3 linked regions of the Drosophila melanogaster genome follow. The protein of the gene in region 3 purifies or fractionates together with the protein of the main gene of each other region. This does not show direct contact. Each region holds a gene or a part of one and is shown on either strand. Other genes may lie near its edges.

What was found.
Region 1: the proteins of cort (region 3) and shtd purify together in Drosophila melanogaster (affinity purification with mass spectrometry, with the first as the bait; one study listed by BioGRID). This does not show direct contact.
Region 2: the proteins of cort (region 3) and Cdc27 purify together in Drosophila melanogaster (affinity purification with western blotting; 2 studies listed by BioGRID, with this or other methods). This does not show direct contact.

The regions. Positions count from the first base shown.
Region 1 is NC_004354.4:15,455,946-15,464,654, forward strand, and holds the start of shtd (shattered), read right to left. Parts: upstream 6,497-8,709; 5' UTR 6,391-6,496; coding exon 5,343-6,390; intron 5,283-5,342; coding exon 5,159-5,282; intron 5,101-5,158; coding exon 4,939-5,100; intron 4,881-4,938; coding exon 3,662-4,880; intron 3,603-3,661; coding exon 1,558-3,602; intron 1,499-1,557; coding exon 1,064-1,498; intron 1,000-1,063; coding exon 417-999; intron 358-416; coding exon 1-357. Other genes in the region: CG6294 (uncharacterized protein), read left to right, coding at 6,883-8,463.
Region 2 is NT_037436.4:7,244,384-7,251,886, forward strand, and holds Cdc27 (cell division cycle 27), read right to left. Parts: upstream 4,958-7,503; 5' UTR 4,299-4,957; coding exon 4,275-4,298; intron 4,197-4,274; coding exon 4,121-4,196; intron 4,052-4,120; coding exon 1,449-4,051; 3' UTR 1,098-1,448; downstream 1-1,097. Other genes in the region: mei-P22 (meiotic P22), read left to right, coding at 5-1,000; MED4 (mediator complex subunit 4), read right to left, coding at 5,227-5,766, 5,825-6,061; CG14830 (uncharacterized protein), read right to left, coding at 6,716-7,235, 7,297-7,503.
Region 3 is NT_033779.5:6,673,337-6,678,953, forward strand, and holds cort (cortex), read right to left. Parts: upstream 3,300-5,617; 5' UTR 3,215-3,299; coding exon 3,095-3,214; intron 3,036-3,094; coding exon 2,904-3,035; intron 2,839-2,903; coding exon 2,424-2,838; intron 2,366-2,423; coding exon 1,994-2,365; intron 1,936-1,993; coding exon 1,786-1,935; intron 1,727-1,785; coding exon 1,464-1,726; 3' UTR 1,346-1,463; downstream 1-1,345. Other genes in the region: cup, read left to right, coding at 965-978; CG34310 (uncharacterized protein), read left to right, coding at 723-892, 970-1,189; Nse1 (Non-SMC element 1), read right to left, coding at 3,505-4,212.

The sequences.
Region 1 (8,709 bases), on a different chromosome or scaffold from region 3:
GCGGAATTCGTATAAAAGACGCATATAGTTAACTGTGCCCGTGCTCAAGTCCACTCCATTCAACATATTCGGCAACAGATTGTAGTAATTGATCACGCAGAAGGCTCGCTGCAAGTCCGGTCCACTGACTGTGGTCACATAGCTGGGATCCAGACGCCTTCGGCTGAGGAACTCGCGCAGCGGTAAGCACAACTCGCGCGTCGAGTCCTCCATTTCCTGCTTGAAGAGCTCTTGCATCATTTGGATAAGCTCCACGGAGATGAGCGGATGCTCGGACTCCTGGCTGCGACTCAAATAGGCATCGATGAGCTTCATCTGCCACACATCGATGTTGTTCGGCATGGACTTGGTTACGTGCTAAAAACAAAGAACGTTACATTCGCGGTCAAATTATGCAAGTGAATGGATGCACTTACATCGTATAGGGTTAGGTAAACCGGCAGGAAATGCATGCGATCCTTGACCACGGCATTGTAGAATAGCAGCATCACCTGGTGCCGCTTCATCAGCTCCGGGGGACTCAAATCCGTGCCTTTGGTGTCCAGGCAGCGACTGAGGAACTGCTTCACCATACGTTCGCTGGCAAACTGCTGCAGGTCGTTCATATCGATCTGCCAACAGATGCTCTGTTCCATCGTCAATGTTTGGGCCAGCATGCTCTTCAGCCTGTCCGGGTCCTCCAAGTGGGAAAGGCAGCCCGTTCGCTTCTTAATATCAATCGGTGCACTCATCTCCAGCGCCTTTTCCAGCTGATCCCAGTTGCGCGATCGCTCGAAGCACACTGGCCAATAGTTCTCGTCGTCCACCACCACCTGCTGCAGGGTGCTCAGCACTGGCAGGATGCAGGGAGCGATGGGCAGGCGGCGCAGCTCGGTGGCACCCACCTCCAACACGGATATGTTGGCCAGGCACAGCTTATTGGTGTCAATGTCCCGGGGAAGGAACAGGCGCGGTTCCACAGCCAGTACATAGAGATGTCTCAGCGCTTGCAGATGGTATCTTAAAATGTAAATCCATGCGGTGAAGTGTGCTAACACATTGCTGCAAATATATTAATCCTTACCGATTGTCGTTGCTGTGTATGGGAAACTTGGGGAAGAAGGCGCAGACCAGTGCAGCAATCGACTCCGGTGTCTGGGAAATGGTGAAGCGACCCGCGCCGAGGAATAGCAGGCCAAGCGACATGTGTATGGCCATGTGAGAGCCGTAGGTTATGTGCGGATATTGTGGTCCCACTCGCGACCTGAGAAACCGAATTATGCGAAGAATTTCGCAGTTGCCGGAGCCGGCGAACACCAACGAGATCGAGATGAGCAGCACCATCAGGCAGCTCTCCACAGTGGTGCGACCGGCACATTCGCCCATCGGCCTGCTGGGGAAGCGAAGGAAATCCTTTATCACCGACCGCAGCGTGGCAAAGGCCACCAGATTCTCAGTGCCGGCGTACTTGAGACCAATGCAGAAGGCAGCTCCAGCCATGATATTGCAATAGGCTTGCCTGGACAAGAGTATATAATTCGTATCTAATTACTTTGACATTCAACTTCAGTTACTCACGAGATGGCCTCGTAGTCCACGTCATAGTCCTCGGGTGCATACTCATTTTCGTAGAACGGGAGTTTTAGGTGAGCTCGGAGTGCTCGCGGAAACTGTGCCTGGAACCACGCGTTGTCCGGCCGGACATCCTGCCATAGGATGAGGCCCCGGGAAATTGTGCGCAGCAGAAGGAAGTCAGGCCGCACCATGTCCAGTAGATACCGCGAATCCGGCGGCTGCATCCATTCGGCAATAGCTGCGTTCCCCGAGTTGAAGAACATAAGTCCCAATGCGAGCGTTGCACCCGGAGCAGTGACATCTATGTTGACGGTATCGCCTTCACGAACTTGGAACGAGGCTAGTCGGTATTTCTCCTTCTGGGAACCGCCGATGGGTCTCTTCACTCCACCGACCATGTAGTAGTGCAGGGTATCCGGCAGTTGGAGGTCCCTTAGGCCCGCCGGCGATTCACCCTGACCGAGGGTAACCAATCCGAGGGATAGACCTGCTGTCATGGCATACGATTCGCGCTCAATGCTGTTCTCCATCTCAGGGCCTGGAGGACGGCCAATCTCCTGGAGCAGCACCTCGGCTATGTGGCGCTTAGCTGATCCTTGATAGAGCAAACCGACGCCCATTATAGCAGCCACCTGTGTGCTTTGCGGTATATCCAACTCCATGGCGGTGGCTGGCAGCAGTGCCTCCAAGTGAACGCTCAACAACTTTGTGGTTTTCGTATCCATGGTGCCGCGATGGGCAGCGGAAATGCCCAGCAGCAGACCAACGTTGGTCATCTCATCGCATTTAACCAAATACTTATAGACACTCATGAAGGACAGCGTCTTTAGGTGACCATTCAAGCCCAGGGCCATGAGGAAACCAGCGTGCTCCAGGGCATTATGCGAATGCGTTTTGGGCTTGTTGTAGACAATCCAATTGGAGTCTATGTCCTGAGCCTGGGGTGAGATCTTCAGGCCAGTGGCCACGCCATTGTGAAACGATGGCCACATTTGCATATTCGCTGGGAATTCGATCTGCTGCATTTCGATGGTGGTGCCCTTCAGCGGCTCCTTGCCCAACAGGCACAATTTGGGCATGGTCAAGCTTTCGCTGGGCCGCGGCAACATCGTTCTCAGGGTGAACATACCTCTGCCCACGGGCAGTGTCATTGTGCGCGAACATAGTGCAAACAGTTGCTTCTCCTGCTCCTCAATGAATTCGTGATCGCTGGTTCCCGGTGCCTGTTGCACTTCAATGACCACCGGTTCCGAGCTGTTAAGCAGACGGCGCACTTCATCCACCCGCATGTCATCGGGAAAACGCAGACGCAGTAGTTTTGTGTCCATGTTGTCCATGTCGTCGCGGCGCAATTGGGCCGGTGAATCAGTTTCTGATCCCCCGGTCGGCGGACACCTCGCTGACAGTGAATCTTCCTTGTAGACCCGGCCACAATGCGGTTGCCCAGTGCTCGTTTCGAGGAACGGCAGTTGAGCGTGGGCCGCCAATTCTGGACGCAGGATAAGTTCATAGGTGGCCATGCTGCAGCCCATGGGCGGCGAGAGGCGAGCCTCCTCCAGTGCCTCCGCTACAATCAGATGCACTGCCGCCGGGAATCTTTCAATGTCTCGCCGTGTCAAGCGCATGGCCAGAAGTAGCTGTAACATCTGATGGCTACGCGGAGCATCCGCCGTGATATTACGCTTAGAGCGCCGCGTAAAGTTGGCCTGAACGGCGCCGGGGATCTCAAGCAGCTGCCACCAGTAATTCAGACGCTCATGCCCATGAGTCACCAGCGATACGAGCTGCAGTAAAATGCGACTTCTCTCGTTAACGCACTCCAAGAAGGTGTAAGGCATCACCTCCTCCTCGCCGACAATAATGTGCTCGAGTTGGGCAAACACACTGGGTGCCGGAACCCTCAGAAGCTCCTGGTGCAGCATCATAGCTCCGTGCTCAGCTCCCAGCAACGAGAGCTTGCCCGTACGATTCGAGAGTTCCGGAAAGTCTAGTATGTAGTGCAGCACATAACTTTCCAGCTGCATATCGATGGCCAGCTGGTGTAGGAACTGGAACGAGGAGATGGTGTTAGAAAACCACTAATGGATCTATTAAATGATTCACCTACCGTTGCCAGATATGGAAGCGCTCCATAAAAGTCAGCGTCCAGTTTGAGATCCTCGTACAGTAAATGCAGGCTGAAGAAGATGGCGGGAATCATTCGGAAGAGCAGCGCACCGATGTTCACGCTGTAGCTGTGGCCATCGGCTCCGCAGGGAGCCAGTGTCGTCTGGAGCAGCAGGAACTCCCAGTCGTCGTCCGTGAAATCATCGCAATCATTGTATATTCGCCGTTTCTTCGGCTCATCCTGGCCACCCAGTGTAGAATTGGAACTGCAACTAGAACCGTCACTCGATTCCGTCGCAGTAGCGCCGCCTCCAAATTGAGTGTGCAGCGGTGGCGTGGCACATCTAGCGTAGTTCTCGCCCGCATCCACATCCGGTGCAGCAGTCAGACCCATTAGGGCGAGCAGTGTGGAGCGGAATAGCAGCCATTCCTGCTCTATGGAGTAATTCCTCGATCCCGGCGGATTCCTGTCGCTATACCAACGGATAACAAAGTCCAGGAACTGGGTCGGACTTAGAACCTGCCGTAGCGTAGCCACACATCTGGTGAGCAATCGTGTATCATTTAGAAATGGCAGCGCTATTCTGAGCATTCTGCCCGTGGCATAAACCAAAGTCAATCGATTTCCCGCCGGATCTCTCAGGGATTTGCAGACATTGTGCGCCTGCCGCTGTGTGTAGGACACCGGCTGCGGTTGGATGGGCGACAGCATGTGCAGCTCCTCTTCGAAGGCAGCCACATCCCCCGGCGCTTTTGTGGGCAGTAGGCTGCTCCTTCGCACCTCCACGAAAGAACTGCTGCCGGACGGAATGCCGCTTGCTGGTCCAGCAGCTGCCATTGGTGTTTTAACGTGAGACGGAGCGGGCGAAGCCGACGGAGATGGGGCAGCAGTCATGGGCGTTACCAGCGGTGTGGGAATGGAGGTAGGCGCCAAAAACGGCGTAATGTGCACCTTGGATATGAGCACGGTGCCTGTGTATAGAAGTAAGCTGCCACTCGGATCGAGAACGGCAATCATGTGCATTCTCTTCAGACCCACTGCATCTTTCGCGGCCAGCGTGGAGGCGTGCGTGGAGAGCTGCACCTCGCCCCTTCCATAGCCAGTGAGGCGGACCAACTGAAGGCGGCACGAGCGGGCCAGCAGGTAGCACAAAAAGGTCTGACCCACTAAATCCGTGTGGATAAATGCTCGGGTGGCCATCTCGCAGAACTCTCGTTGACTAAGGAAGACAGACAATTTTAGTACTGAAAGTGGCATCTTTGGTGGCATTTACTGACGTTCCGTAGATGTTCTCCGTCCAGATGTGCTCCATACACAATTCCGGCTCAATGGGTTTTGCCGGCTTCACGTGCGTTAACTTGCGCATATCCTTCACGGACATGGACTGCTGGCTAATACTGCTCTGCAGTTGGCTCAATGGAGTGCCTAGGGAGGCGCGACTAAACGGAAGAAGAGGCAATAATAAGTAAGTGATGGATGACAGCGACTTAAACGTACTTCGACTGTCCAAGAACTCCGCTGAACGACTGCGACTGGCTGAGTCCGAACTGGTTGCCCATGCCGGTGGTGGTGGTGTTGATATTCCTGGCCGCAAACGATAAGTTCGTTGCTTTTGGCGTGGCTAGCAATGGATAGACAGTGAATAAATCGTATGCCCTTGCTGGCATTGCTATCAACTCACCTCCAGTTTGCTTGGTGGAACTGAAACTATTGCCTGCCATCGACCTGGGTCCCATTAGCGTCTGTCCCAGCTCCATCTGCTGACTCACATAGTTGATCTCTTCGGGCGTTACCTTACGCAGGCGTGCAACGAAATGCTTAAAGAACTTGGCATCGTACAGCATCACCAAATCCGATTCCTCGGTGGTGAAGACCACAGTGTATTCCGGTTCGGTCATGTAGCCGGTGGAGCCGGTGGCCGTCTTCAGGACGACGGGACAGGCCTCGTGCAGCGGATGCGACATAGAGAAGAGACGCGGCATCGGAATGGACATGTGCGATATCAAGGCATTGCTGGAGTCCTTTTCCAGCAGCAGGCCATACTTGGTTTGCCACAGCTGTGACACGGGAAAGTCCAGATTGGCTAGAAAGTCCTCGCCGTTGCTGCAGTACACCCGCAGGGCGTCCTGATCCATCACACAGATGGCGGTCAAATGGTCGTCATCCGGGTGGACAGCCGCCTTCAGCTGCGCCAGTCGCCCGCGCACAAAACTGCGATTCAGGAAGCAGGCGAAGCGCACCGGCGTATCGGTGGTGAAACACATGCGCCGGTACACCCCATTGTCGGTATCGTCGTCATCGTTGACGCCTTGTGTCCACACCACCGTGTTCCGGTTCACATAGAGCTCCTCCTCGTTGTTAACCATATAGTCGCACATTGGCTCCACGCGCCGCACCAGCGGTGGATTGAGCAGTCTGTTCGGCAGCGAGGTGGCCTGGAGACCACATCGCTTTGTCCGCTCGGTCAACTTGCGTCGCAGGGCGGCGCGCTCCTCGGATGCCTCGTAGTCATCGTACAGCTCTCGGACTGTCCACGACTCCTGTCCGCCCGAAGGGCAGTCCTCACCGGCCGACGAGATGTTCACATTCTGGAGGCGCTGCAGCAGCAGATGCTCCGTGGTGGGCAGTTGGTGGCGCGCCATTGGCTGGTCATGTGGGCCCGGATGCTCCGCGGACGTCTGACGGCCGCGCGGCACAAACTCCAGCGGCGGTTCTGCGACGGCGATCATGTCCGCGTCGCCAGGTGCATCCAGAATTGCGATTGACAAGTTAATTGATTACAATTTATTATTAGCAAGGAATTTGCACAATTATTTAAAAACTGTCATCGAAATCGGGTGGCGATAAGTGCCTGATTCTATCGGGCCTGCAGTACTTCGATATGAGGAGAGCTATCAAAAGGCCGATAACGATAGGAAGACCAGAATCGCGACAAACAAAACAATTACCAGTATATGCCATAAAGTCATACCGAAAGAAATGCTAGAGAAATGGCTTTGCCTATTTTTAAAAATATAAAATATAACAGTTCGATTGCTTTTACTATCGATTACAATGCCGGTTGGTCACTTGTAGCAACCAGCTTTGGTCCGCTGGCGTACCGGTTATTTTCCCGGTCTGGCAGCACAGTGCGTTTGTTCGGCTTTTCCAATTGGATTTCGGAGTCTGGATTTTGATTTGAGCAGACAAACGGAACCGGAAATCCTGGCCAGAATTTGGCAATGAGCAGCGGCACCGCCGGCTGCAAGCGCGCGCACAGCATCGAGGTTGAGCAGCCGCTGACGTCGGAGCGCCTGGAGCACAGCCTGCTGTTGGTCAAGGGACGCCTGGTGCCCAAGTGTTCCACGGCGCGTCAACTGAAGGCGATCCTCGATCTGCCCGAGCACCTGTCCCAGGAGCAGCTCACCCAGCTGTCGGCCGGCGGCGAGTTTAAGCTCCTATTCGACTTGGAACAAGCGAATCGCGAGGAGGAGGAGGAGGAGAGCGCCTGCCTCCTGGAGTTGCGATCCTGCACGGCCACCCGAACGATTAGCTTCAGTTACCGGCCCCGCCGCAGCTCCTACCGGGTGCAGCCGCTCTACCTGCTCTGTCAGGACGAGGAGAAGACGCTGGCGCAGCAGCACGAGGTGCACTCCCTCATCGATCTTAATTTGCGGCTGGTGCAGTCCATCTACGCGCACAAACTGCACGCGGCGGGCTTTCCCAACCGCACCTTCACGCTCAACGGCAAGTGCTGCGCCTTCCGCAGCCAGTTGACCCGGAAACAGGCGCTGGCGAAGAGCGAGGACGAGCTGTGGCAGCATTTCGCCGGCGAGATTATCGCCTGTCCGCAGTGGGGCCACCAGTTGCTCCTCAAGTTCGTCGCCTTTGTGGGCTGCACGCGCTACGACGGCGACGCAGTGGTGGCCAGCGGTGACTCCTCGTACGCCAACATCCGGCGGCATCTCAAGGGACACGCAGCACTCGGTGGCGGCGGCTTGGCGCTCTTTGGTAGTGCCCACTTCTACGCGTGGCCCACGAGCTTCGCGGAGATCGGCGACTGTGTGCGCAGCGCCCAGCGGGTGGACATCGCCCGCCTGCCGGACGAGAGCAACTATCGGCGGACGTACGGCGGCGTCTATGCCAGCACCTTGGGCGCCGTGTGCCACGAACTGGGCCACTGCTTCGATCTGGGCCACACCAGCGAGGGTGTGATGGGCCAGGGCTTCGACTACTTGAATCGCGTGTTGACCGTGGACCAGCCCACGGAGCATTTGCCGCAGCGAATTGTGGACGCCCGCAGGGGCTCACTTGCCAATACTAATTCATCCGAGGGCGGATCATCCTCATCCAGCTCCACCTCCTCCTCCTCCTCGTCCGCCGGCAGTGGCGCCGCAACGGGCAACCGCGCCCGCCTCACCAAACTGAAATTGCAGCCAAGCAGCCAACTGCTGGACAACTACCACAACCAGCGACGCCACGATAGCTTCTATTTTGCACGCAACTGTGCCGTAATCCTGGCCCATCATCGCTGGCTGAATTTGGAGCTGGAGCAGACGGCTGCCGTCGACTTTGAGGCGGCCAGCATACAATTGAACCGCGACACGCGTGAGATTCGCTCCAGCAGGCCCATCCGACTGATCGAGCTGCGCTGCAACCAGAACAGCCTGGTGGCCCACTACGAGGAGTTCGAGGAGCCGTATGTGCACCGCTTCCAGCTGCCCGCTTCGCTGTGGCATCTCCTCGCGGAGCAGTGCACCCACTACGTTTTCGTGCTGACCACCAGTGGCGACACCAAGCGGCTATCCTGCGATTCCTCCTAGGATTGCCGCAGCGCGAGGTGAGTGGCCCACGTCCTTGGCATAGTTAACTGGATGAAAGGGGCAACTTTTTGCAATGCTTGCCATATATGAAAATATTATCCCGAATGCGATTTCAATGTATATATAATATAATCGCTTTGTAATTAGTGAATGTACTTAAAAATACTCGACAAGAGTAGTAGAAATAATTTAAGAAAGATATCATTCTGTTTGAATGCAACTCAATTAGCCAGCAATCAATTAAGC
Region 2 (7,503 bases), on a different chromosome or scaffold from region 3:
CAGTATGGACAGGACAACAGTTGTCCCGAGTCCGGCCTCCACCTACTGCTCCTTTATGGGTGGCTCCCAGCACTCCCCATTGCGGCGATCACAGCGCCTCATCGACAAGGAAAACCGGGATCTGCAGAAGATTCCGCCCAAAAGTCTTTCTCCTCAGTTATTTGGAAACACTGAAGATGATTACAGTGAACTATTGTTGCAGCAAGGGAAAGTGGTTCACCTGAAGCCTGCAGCTAAGTTGGTGCCCGTGAGATCCTCGGATAATCTAGTCCATCTTGGATCCCGGGATAAAGTTGTCCCCTTGAAAACTTCCAATAGAATCGTTCACCTGAAGCCTCCATATAAGATTATCCACCTCAAAAGTTTAGATGAAGTTGAAAAGACCGTAAAGAAGAAGAATAATATTCAGAAAGAAGTTCATCAAAGGAATTCACAAAGGAGAAGCATTCAATGCACTCCCAAAAAACGTGGTCGAAAACCAAAGCAACCGGCTAAGAAACTGCAGTCAAGAATTTCCACCGATCAGCTAGGAAGCACACCATCGCCATCCAAGCTGCCTGCCAAATATCCCGCCCATTTTGTTCATCAACTTCCGCCCGCTGAGGATTCCAGCTGTGCCACTCGAAGACGATCCTTATCTGCTCCAGCTATGCAACTTAGCGATCTAAGCCTCACACCCGATGAGATCCAAACTCCGGAGCGGCGCGGTGAAATCGTAAACAAATCGCCATCGGATCTCGACTCCGATGTCTCCTTGAACTTCTCGCTGTCCGATTCCATTGGCGAGATCTTCGGCACCAAGGACATCAGCAGCATTCTGACCATGCAGCGGCCGCGTCAGTACATTTTGCTGGAGGAGCATCTGCCCACACTGGCCACCATGTTGAACGTTGACTTGGAGCGACTGCGCTGCGTGCTGGATATCACTCAGGGCTTGAGCCACGAGCAAATCCTGCGCTTTCCGATAAAACATGAAGAGGATGAATTGGAAGTACCTTAGATATGATGGGGAACTTATAGCAGTAGTATAATGTTTTCACTTTGAATAGTTTTAATGTCCAAGTCCAACATATTTAATTCCCATAAGATCCTTGTTGCTTTAACTTAACATTTAAAATGTATATCTCCCTTTTTTTTTGTATATTTTTAAGTGGTATTTAATTGTTGTTGTTTTTTGTTGTTGTTGTTTCTTTTTCGTTATTTTGCCTTAGACTTTCAGAGTGCACAATTTTTGTTTAAACCATTTACTTTTTTGTATATTTTAAATTACTAATGCTAAACGTTATCTAGACTTTATCATACTTCATAATTGGTTTCCTTTCCTCCACGACAATACAGCAGCAATCGATCGGGGTTTTTTTTTGTATCTGTTACTAAGTTTTCTTTTTTGTTTACTGTGTTTCTCATTTAACGTATATACAACCGCGTGAATTTGGAGTTGCAGCTCCCTAGTAGTCGCTGTCGTAGCTTCCGTCCTGCTGCGCCTGCGTCGAGTCATCGGAACGCTCCGAAGTGGGCTCCAGATCAACGTCCAGGGCCGTAGTGTTGGCCGGACAGCAGCTGGGATGAGCCATTGAGTCGAAGGCATCTTTGATTTGATTGTTGGCACCTTTGGGATCTAGGTCGGTGGCCCAGCTGAAGTGCATCAGCGCCAGATCCATGTTGCCGAGCGTCTTGTGGATTTTGCCGATCAGATAGAACACCACCGACTCCTTGGGCACGACTTCCTTGAGCTCCTCCAGTTCGCGCAGCGCCTCCTGGTACTTGCCCAGCGAGAAGTAGATGGAGCCGCGATGGAATCGCGTCAGCGGGTTCTTGGGGTCCAGCGTGGCGGCCGTGTTTAGCGTCTGCAGCGACAGATCCTTCTTCTTCATGTAGAATTGCATGGCGCCGATGTGCACGAGAATAACCGAGTTCTGTGGATTGATTTTCAGCGCCTTCACGTAGTGAATCTCAGCCAGCTCGTATTTCTCCTGCTTGGAGTAGATGGTGCCGATGCCGTACCAAGCATTGTAATGCCGCGGATCTCTAACCACTGCTGCACGGAAGTAGTCCATGGCCTTATCAAATTCTTCGGTGAGTACGAGTTCGTGGCCCAACAGTGTGTAGCTGTAGACGAAGTCTGGATCCACTTGGACAGCCCGCTTGAAGAACTTGATCGCGGTTTCGTGCTCCTTTTGCAGCGAAAAGCAATTGCCGGACACACACCAGGTAACCGGGCTGGTTTTGTCCTGGTTAATCAGATCCTGGGCGAGAGCTGACAGCTCAACCTCGCGCTGCAAATGCCACAGGGATGACGAGTATATCTCCATGTAGTCCAAGCGACATGGCTCTGTCTTGTGGATGGTCTCAAATATCGCCACCGCCGCCTCATACTCACGCATCTCGTACCTGGCCAGTCCGATGAGCGACTGCACCCAGCTGGAGTTCAGGTGGTGCTTTGGTATCGTCGTCTCCAGCTGCTTTATGGCCGCCTTGCACTGGAAGTTCGAGAGCAGCTGATAGGCTTCAGCTAAACCCCGCAGCAGGGCCATCAGCCCATCGGCCGATTGTTTCTTGAGTCCCATCAGCTGGTGGGCCATCGTCTGGGCATTGTTTAGGCTATTGTTCAGCAGTACTTTGGCCTCCTCGGCGGCACTGCGTCCACCGCTGTTGTTATTCGCTCCCGAGGAAGTAATAGTCTCCACCTTCTCCTTGCGCTTCTCGGAGAGGTGGTGGGACTTATCCTCGATCAGTTCGTTATTTAGGCAGATCTTGGTCATCCGTGACTTGGCTTTGCGGGGCGGCGAACGTGGCTGCACGAACTTGTTGGCTATGTTGGGCGATTTATTGTTCTCCTTCACCGAATACGAGTTGCTGAACAGCCGCGAACTGCGACGCACTGCAGCATTCGGATTGGGCGGCACATTCATATTGCCATTGTTGCCCACATTATTGTTGTTCGGAGTGCGGGGCGTTATGTTTCCGGCTTGCGTAAAGACGGCGGGTTTATTAAGGCTGCCCTCTTTGCGATTGATGAGTCCGCCCACATGTGTCTTTAGCTTTTTGCCCATCATCTTCGGCTCCTGGTTGACCTCGACCAACATCTGTGGCATCGGCGAATAGCTTATATTCATAACGGGCGTGTGGTTGCCAATGAAGGATCCATCGTTGCCGGTGCACGGACTAGTTAAAGGCATGATGCCGAAGCTCGGTGTTGGCGGTGAGATGGCCGATAGGTATTTGAACTGTTTGCGAAACGGAGTACCGCTGCTCATGTCGTAGAGCTGCTGGTTCTGCTGATACTGGCCGGCCGGGTCCTGCGGAGCTCCCATAGGTGTGTCCTCCAGCATCGCCAGCATGCTGGAGTTTTGTACCAAACCCCCGCGCAGCATGCTGATCGAACTATTGAGATTGTTGTTATTATTATTATTGTTGATGGGCGTCACCATGTTGCTGTTGTGGTGCTGGTTCTGATTCTGGTTGATCTGTTGTTGCTGCTGATCCACGGGCGTGGTCAGAATGTAGTTGGAGACATTGCTTAGGTTGGTGATCAGCGACTGGCGCTCCTGATGCTGTTGACCCTGCTGCTCGGCTCCGAACAGCACCATTGCATTGGCATTTACGCTGCTGCCCTGGCAGGTATTGAACACATCTGTGCTGTGGATTTGGAATATGGCCGCCGCATCTGTATCCTGGCCCAGCAGGCACAGATCCGCGAATGCGTGCCACATGAAGGGGTTCAGTTTGAGGGCGCGCCTTAAAGCACTAACGGCCAGTTTATTGCGCTCGGTCCTCATGCAGATCTGGGCCATTAGCTGATAGGCGAAGCAGGCCAGATCCCCGAAGTCCCGCTGCAGCTCATCGCAGTTCTTGGCGTCCGCGAATCCCGTGGAGATCAGGGCACTCTCCGCCTCAGCGTATTTTTTCAGCTCGTAGGCACATTTGGCCTGCAGAAAGCGGCACTGCGGCGAGCGGCGTGCCTTCTCCTTGAGCAGCCAATATGCCTGGTGCACCTGATTGGAGCGGAAGTAGCTGGTGGCCAGCAGGAATATCGTCTCGTCGCTCTCCACTGCAAGGACACGGTGAAAGAGAAAATCAGTGATATACCCGGTCAGACAAACGAGACCTTGACCTATACCTTCTGAGCACAGGCGTTCCGACAGGAAAACGGCATCCTTGAAGTCGTAGTAGTTCAGGCAATGCCATATGGCGGCCTTTGGGAGCGAAAAAAAAGAAGGGAGAAAATTTGGTTTTTTATAGAGGCCAGGTGGACCGAGGAGCTATTGATTTACCTGCACGGGCTCTTGAATCATCATGTCTGGGCGGTATGTGCGACTTTCTAGGGGCGCTCTATGAGATGTACGTTCACTGTACTTCAGGGCTTTACAATAATTCAAACATGCAGTGTGTAGAACTCAAACAAACTATCATGTCGCCCCCCACTCGTACACTCTTCTGTTTGTATTTGTATTCGAATTGTTTTCTTTTGGCCAAATTTTTTCCAACAATATCGAATGGGAAAAAGTAAAAGTTTGGCCTGTGTGCTGGCTGGCTGTGTGGTATGTGAGTGTCGTATGTAACCCGATTGCGGATGCGGCGATGCAAGTGGCGATGGCGGTGTCTCTCGCTCCCTGGCCTCCACTCCACTCCACCTTCCACTTCCACTTTTTCTTTATATTTGATATTGCAATTGGTTTGAGTCGAGCCTTCGCTTCGCTTCGCCCTCTGTACACACACACTGCGAACGGGGGGTCGGTTTTCTACTATCGTTTTCGGGGCTTATCTCTCGTTAAAGACGCACACGGGGCTGATCTGCGATTGGCGGCGACACTGGACTACACCTTGGCCACATTTTAGCTACTTGAAACACGCTGCATACGCGTTGCATTCCATTTTATTTGAAAAACCAAAGCTAAAATAATTGCGAGCTGTCAAAGTATCGATTGCACGCGACCCTGCCAATCGATTGTTTATATGGTTGAGGAGGACCGTATCGCACTAGCGCAAAAGTACCAAGCTCTTGACACGAAGCTATTATAAGCTGTTTCCACTGATACATAACTTTGCATTTTTTTAAATGCCAATTTAAATTGTAAATTAATATCATTAAAGAAGGTCATAAAATTAGATATGTATCCCAGCTACTCAAATATATACATAACTAGACTTCCTTACAGCGCGCTTTTATTAAATACCTAATACTACTAGCTTAAACGAGATTTAGTTATAGTTTTTTATCCAATTCTACTGCGAATCGCTGGAACTGGAGCTTGAGCTATCCGTGGACATGACCTCCACATCGTCCTGGGCGCGCGTCTCCAGGGCCACTGTGTTCCCAGAGGCGCCCATGGTCATGTGCAGCTCTCCGAGATTCCAGTTAAACTGGTTCTGGAAGGCATTGGGCACCTCGCCGCCGGCGCCACTGCCACTCCCACTTCCTGCGCTACCGGACAGCGTTCGCTGCTGCTCCGAGGGCATGCCGCTGTTCTGGTGGGTCACTGTTCCGCCGTTGATGTTCTGCTCGGATTTACCCAGCAGCCCGTTGCGCATCTCAATGTCCGTGGGATAGGGACGCCGCAGGTCACCTATGCACCAGGTGAGCGGAGCACTGACCGCATTGGCGGAGCTAATCCGATGTGCGTATTTGATGAGCTCCTCGGATGAAACCGGTCGTTTGTTGGCCTGATTGATGCTGGCCAGTTTCTGTCGCGCTTGGAAGATGGCCGTGGACAGTATGAGCTCCGCATCCTTTAGCGACTTTTGCAGCTTCTGGATCTCACGGTCCTAAGCGGGAAAATCCAGATTATACCTTATTTTTGGGGAATGCAAAACTTCTACTTACGTGCACCTCGACCTTAGCGCGCAGTTGGTCCATCGCCTCCTCCACTTTCGCCTGCTCCTCCGCCAGTTCCAGCATTTTGCGAAATTCCTCATCTTTGGCCACCAGCAAATCCAACAGGTCCACCAATTCGGTGCTGGAGATCTTCTGGTGCGCCTGCTCGATCAACTCCTTGGCAATCATCTCAATGTCGTCGATCAGGAGCAGAAGGCGCTCTTTTGTGCTCAAATGAAACGACATTATCACGGCAAATCGTTTGTGCTAAGCAATAATTGCAATTTGTTTATTTTCCACACCGCAATGTGGCCGTTCTTCGATTGCTGAAATATACCGTATAGTATTCCGGAGCGCTGTTAATACCACGTTGTAAAAATACCGTAACAGAGAGGTTGCCAGACTAATAGGAGTTGCCACATGGGTTATTTCATACACTCAAAAAAAAGGGAATCAAGTACTCAAAAGCAAAGAGTAGAAGAGACTGTTCAAAAATAAAACAAATTCGCAGCGTTATCTCTAGTAGGTATTATTTGCTTGTTTATTTCTCGTGTGTTACAATTGCAGTTACAATTTTAGCATAAAACTCTTCTGTTGATTAGCCAAATCAAACCTAACAAACCTTCTCAAATATGGCAGATTACAATACTCTGTTGCATCCTCGCGTTCGCGTCTCCCGTCAGTTTCACTCTTAAAACATACAAACCAGCAAGCAACTTGCAGCAGGTACGTTGGAGGGGCCTTGTTAATAACCGTTTAGAACTAGTAGATAGTCTTACAATTAGTTAAGATATAAGTGGTTTATATGTGGCTATTCATATTTCTTCTCCGCCCAAAGGATCCCCTTTCATCAAACCGCATATGTATGTACATACATACATATGTACATATGCATAACAATCAGTATCGCTGGCTCTCGCGATCCGAGTATTTGCCACTCAGCTTGCTAACCGAATAGCGATCCGAGTAGGCATCGTACTTGTCCGCCTTGTAGTTGATCTCCTGCGGCGTGTATCCGATATTCTTCTGCCAGTGCCGCGTCCAGTAGAGATCCTCGTTGCGCACCTGCGATGGCGTCTTCGCATCCCGGAACACGTACACACAGTAGATCATGCAGCCGATTAGCGTGAGGAAGCCGAAGACCAGGAACACAATTCCCAGTATCCACACGTACAGTGGCTCATAGAACTGCACCACAATGACGAATCCTAGCGTCACCAGGATCAGGCCCAAGTTGAGCAACAGCATCAGACAGCACACGCCCTTGACATTGGGGCAAAATGGATTCGGCGCGGACATGGTTTCCACTTTGGCGCCTCGCCGAGTCGTCGAGCGCGCACTGCGTCCGGTTTTGGCCGTACTGGCCACGGAGTAAACACTCCGTGGAGCTCCTCGCGACACTGGACGCTGACTGTAGCGACTGTAATGGATGATAGATAGTTTAGATATGGGTTATATGCTATATAGTTGTAACAACGCACCTGATCTCGGAGGGCGCCTTGTAGGCGGCACTGGTCACATAGATGTCGCTGCCGGCGTCACCAGCCTGGTCATAGCTCAGGGCGGACGGAGCACGCGGTGGCTGGCGCGTGGGCGGCGGTCCGCTGAGGGAGCGAGGTCCTCCGTTGTCCGGCGAACTGGAGAGGCCCATCTGACTGTGGCTGTAGCTGCTCTGCAGGTGCTGATGC
Region 3 (5,617 bases):
GAGTGACTGGTGCGCCGAGCGGGCTGGCCATTTTAAAATCGAGCTCCAGCTTCAAGCCGCTCTTGACGCCGTCCTCTGCTGCTGTGCTGCCGCGTCGACGGGGCAGCGCATGTGTGTTTTTTTTGTTGGGACTCCCAAAGCATACGTACGTCATTATCGCAAAGTGATGAGTGTGGTTAAGTGATGAGGGAAGTGAAGGGAAACGACTAGACTATACAGTGCATCAGTGCACTCAGAGAATTTCCATGCCTGTATTGACAGGATTAACCAAAAAACCTATACAAATATTTAAGGATCATTCATCATTATGAATGTTATTTTGTTATTTTGTACAAATTAGTTGCGAACAATATCCGCCTTTATTAGGCTTTCCCCACTTCAGCTATTTGTGAATTATTGCATAGTCATCAAAGAGGAAAGTTTGCAAATGTTATTATTCTTAAACTACGTCACAGTTTCTTTCACGCCCGCTGCAAATACTCAAGCCAGTTTATGAATAGCTATTAATAGAAATTTGAATTTCAAATAAGCTTAAGTTGTGTCGGGGATAGTCTGGCCACGCTGACAACTATTATAGAACTCAGTGTTGGTAAGTGTCGGCTAAACAAAACAGCTGATCTGAAATAAATTCTCATGGTGCGTTGATGTAACAGCAGCCGGCGAAAGAAACTTGTGCATTTAATGAGAAATAAATATAAATAGCCAAAGTAACCGCACGTGCCATGCAAATTCGTCGTCCGCGTGGTGTCACTGTTCCGCAATTGATGGTGGTCACGGCCATTGGGCTGCTAGGCGGTATTTACATTTGGCAACCGCTGATTTTGAAGTACAAAAACGAGAAGAAAACCGAGGCAGAAACGCCAGCAGTAACTGAAACTAGTGGAACCACAAAGTTAGCCCGCACACTAAACCCTAATCTGCTGGCTAAAGTCATATATTAATTGAATTCCGTTCTCGCCCACAGATGAGTTTCATTAACGGCTTCAAAAGATTCGCCACAACGACGGTTGGTCTGATGGCCATCGGTATTGGATCGACTGTTATATTCTACACCACCCATCGCCTTGTCATCAAACCCTATCTTCTCGAGAAACGACGCCTGGAAGCCGAGGCCAGTGCGGAGTACCTCTTCCAGCAGGAGGTTCACTCCCAGATTGGCGAGTCAAGACCCAAACGGAGCGAATATTGAGCCAAGGCTGCCAGTGCCGTCATAGACATCTTTACATACTTATAGCCTAGTGATTAGTTACCAAATTTCAACGCTGTAACATGGTGAACAATGAATGGACTTTTACTTTCTTACCTTCACTTTGGGTGGAGAGGCCCATCTTCTTGTGTTCATTTTAGAGTTAAACAGAATGGATTTTTTATGAAAGTAATATGAATTGAATAAATAATGAAAAGCACAAATGGTTTGAATAAAAGACTAGAAACATAAACAATTAAAAATCACTGTGCTCTGTTCACCGTATGCCTTTGTACAGGCTCAGGGAGCTGCACTTGTCCTTGGCCTTTTGCTCTTGCTTTCTCAATATCGCCTCGCGCTTATAGGTGGGAAAGAAGTTCCACAGCGAAAAGGTGTCGTCCAGTCCGCCGGTGGCAATTTTCGTTCCATCCGGATTCCACATCAGGAAGAGGGTGCCGCGATCCTGATGGGACATCAAGTCAACCACGCGGTTTAAGGAGGCCAAGACCAGAATTTCGCACACTGCAAGGTCCGCATCATCTGTAGATATTAGAATACATTATTTTTAGCAAGCATTAAGGATCCAGTGCAGTTCTCACCACGCCGAATAACGTTGACCAGCAACTCGCCCGTGATTTTGCTGTATGTTAGTGTCTTTATAACGATTCTGTCATCCCTGCGCCTGTACGAAGCCACAAATTGTCGGCGCGGGATGTTGAATATGAAGATCGACGCAGGGCTTCGCTCCGCTGTTAAGATAATATTCATGTTGCAGATACTCTAATAATTAATCTGCCACTATCTTACCAACGGCTAAATCCTCTCCAGTCCACGGATGCCAGTCAAAGACTATGGACCTGCCGTCCAACTTGAGCAGGCGAACCTTTAGCACCGCATCGAAGATGAAAATCTTGCCATCCGTATCACTGGATGCGAAATACTTATGGGTGGGAGCAAACTTCATTTTCTTCACCGTGTGTCGATGCTCGCGCAACTGCATCAGGGTGTTTAGCGTGGGCATGGCCAGCACGATGATGACGCCGCACTGAGTGCCGCAGATGACCTCTTTGCCGTCGTGGGACCACTCAATGCAACTTATGTAGCCCATGGACTTGAAGAACAGCTTGCGGTAGGAGACCAAGAACTCCGTAGGCGACCTCACCTCCCAGAGGTCCAGAACTTGTACGAAAGAGGAGGGTTAGGGCTTTACAAAGTTATTGCTTAGGGTCTGTTATACCTGGATAGTTTCTATCCATGCAGCCGATTGCCAGGTGCTTGCCATCCGGCGAGTACTTGAGGGAAGTGGGCGACTCGACGCTGAAGACCATGGTGCTCTCGTCCAGATTGCGCCACAGCATGACATCCTGTCCGGAGGACATGGCCACCATGCCGCCGGACGACCAGTCCATCATGTTGTAGTCGACGGGACTGCATATGCCAGGCATCTCATGGGTGGCATTCTGAATGGCATATGGTCGCGCCCGTGGATTACATGGCCAGTCCGAATCGGCGGAGTCGTTATCGACCACCCTGGATCTTGTGCCCTGCTGGCTGCTAAACTGAAACAGGCGGCGCTCTCCGATGCCAAAGGTTCGGTTGATGTTCGATATGAAGCCGCTCTGTCGCCAGTAGCTGGCGGTCAAAGTGACACCCTGATTGTAAAAGTCATTTTCAATTAATAATGGAAAGTATATATAGCCAGAAGTACTGCACACACCGTTTCGAGGATATCTCGCTCCTTCCGCTTGCCAATGTACTTCAGGTTGAACTCGATGTTCTCCCGCTCAAATCGGTTGGGTATGAATCTTTCGCCGACATAGGACACCTCCTGCCCCTTGCTCGTATCACTCTGCGCGAAAAGAAAACTACGTTTAGGTGGTCAAATTGTTTTGAGGCCCATCATCTTACCTTGTAGGCCGCCTCCTGTTTCCAGTTTTTCCGCCGCACCTTTTTGAAGGGCGTCAGAGACTTTTTGTCCAGCTTGGAATTTTTATTGGGACTGTCACACACACTCATCTCGACGAACATTGAAACATTTCTGTTTTGCTAGCGCCATATTAAATTGGCAACGGATCAAAAAAAACTTACAGTTACAAGTACAGTGAACACTCGATAGGAGTGCATTTGGTCTTCTTTAATGTTTGCCATTTAAAGTGTGGAGTTTATACTTCTCGATGCTTTACATGAAGATGTTTTAAAATTCAAGTTAAGATGTTGCTTTAAATTATTTATTTTCTACCTTGAAATCATTTAGTTAATAAAGCGGACTACTGTTATTCTAGTATCAAAATCTATAGTACATGTCGCGGACATAATGATTAACCAATGGAGCGTCTTATTGGAGTTGTCCATAGGTTGCCGCAGGAGGGGCAAATATCGCGTCTCTGCAAGTAGGTTTGGATGCACCCGCGGTGGTACTGGATGTTGCAGGACCCGCAGCGAATGTCCCACAACACCAGGCACTTGCACAGCGTGCAGTTTTTTATGTTATCGGCGTGGTTCGAGCTCAAATAGAAACTGAGCTCGACGAGGCTACGTGGACCTAGGTAGATTCTGTCGGTCACCTCCATGAAGTAGCCCATTTGGATCCACTTCTGGAGCAGCTCCTGCATGCGGCTCTTCTTCAACGGCTTCGAGCTGGCCTGTAGGACGATATCATTGTAGGCGTCATTCCAGGCGATGTGGCAGTCCTCCTCGGAGGCGATCTTGTCCAGCAGTTTCGAAAAGTACTGACACTCCTCGGCAGTGAGCCCGGTGTTGGCCACGCTGTCCGGCGTAGCGTCCGTCTTGGCGTAAACCAGGTACTCCTCGGCCTTGACCGGATACTTGATGAAGACCAGCAACTGGCCCAAGTCGCTGATGGTGTCATTAATCTCCGCCACCAGTGCCCTAATCGCCTCCTTGCTGCCGGGCTTTGTAGTCTTGTGGTTGGCACATAGCGGGGCCAGGATATCATCGATCAGCTCGAAGCTGAGGTAGCTGTGGTTCTTGCACGCACGCAGGAACCCGCGTTTCACCAACTCCATTGCCAATGACTGAATATGTTTCAAAACAAATCCAAATATACACAATTCGATTCCGAAGCGCGCCGTTGCAGTGTGCCCAGCTATGCTGACGGGCGGTCAACTTCGGTCACACTATTTTTAAAAATCAATCGATGTTTTTTCAGATCTCCGATTTTAAAATCACTCGCACTATTTTTTGGCTTAATGAAGTTTAAATTTATCATACTTTCGGTGCCCCTAAAAAGAAATGCCCATCTATAATTCCTTTCTTTCTGCTTTGTTTCCATTAAAAAATTTAGCAATTATTAATTTTTTATTTATTTATTTTGGTTTTGACTTAAAAATTAACAGCACAACAATTAATATTTTCAGAGAGCTTCGCTTTGTTTTAAATACAGCGTATATATAGTAAGAAATAGGAGGGTCCTAGGTAATATCGGAAAATGTTATAGATCAGCAAGTGAATCAGCTTTGAAACTTAAAAACTAAACCGAATACAATTAGTCCGTTTTCGAAACGATATATTTACACTAACTGGCTTAGAACGAAAAAGCTATAAGTTTATGTTGTGTAAAATACATCAAAAATGAAATAGTATATGTTTGCCTGCGCCTGTGCCTTATAACTTTTTCCCGTAAAATCCTAAGAGCCGGATTCTCGTCGACACCGGACTTTGGACATGCTCCAGAATCTCCATCTGAATATAATATGGTTTGTGGTTTTCGGGCGATTACAATATACATGTTAGCACATTTTTCGATGTCGAATAGATAAGAAGAAGGAAATATGTCCATAAGTATGCGATTAAACTTTTGCTAGGCCATTCAATTTGGCTTGTGTATATATATATATATTTATGTATTTAGGAAAAACTAGGTAAATTGCAGAGGCAAGTTCTAAAAATAATAGAATCAAAGAGGCTATATATGCATGTAATTTATCGTGTTATAAGGTATGGTACTAGTGTACGTTAGCTCGATGATAGAAATCATTTTTATAGCTTCTGTGCCCTTACTGATCTTAAATAGTTGCACAACAACTTTCAGATTTGTGTTTATTACTAGAGTTCCGAATCACATTTCCATAAACAAGGATAAACTGAAAAGTAATATTCTAATTTGTACAGTTTTCACATTTTCGATTTCAGTTGAGACCAATTCAATAAATAACAAAAGAAAACTAAGAACTTATTGAACTTATATGTAAGCATTTCGATGATCGCCTCCAACCTAAAAGCAAACAAAATCATTAACAAAAAATTGAAAACACTGGGACTTTGAAAATTAATATGAAGTAATGGTGAATTTTCGACTTGAGATGCGCTTTTATGTACAATAGGCGTTAGGAAAATGAGGAAATCAACTGCAATTTAATTTGTACTTACATGGTTAGTCGCGTGTTAGAATCTAAGAAATAAGATTATGAG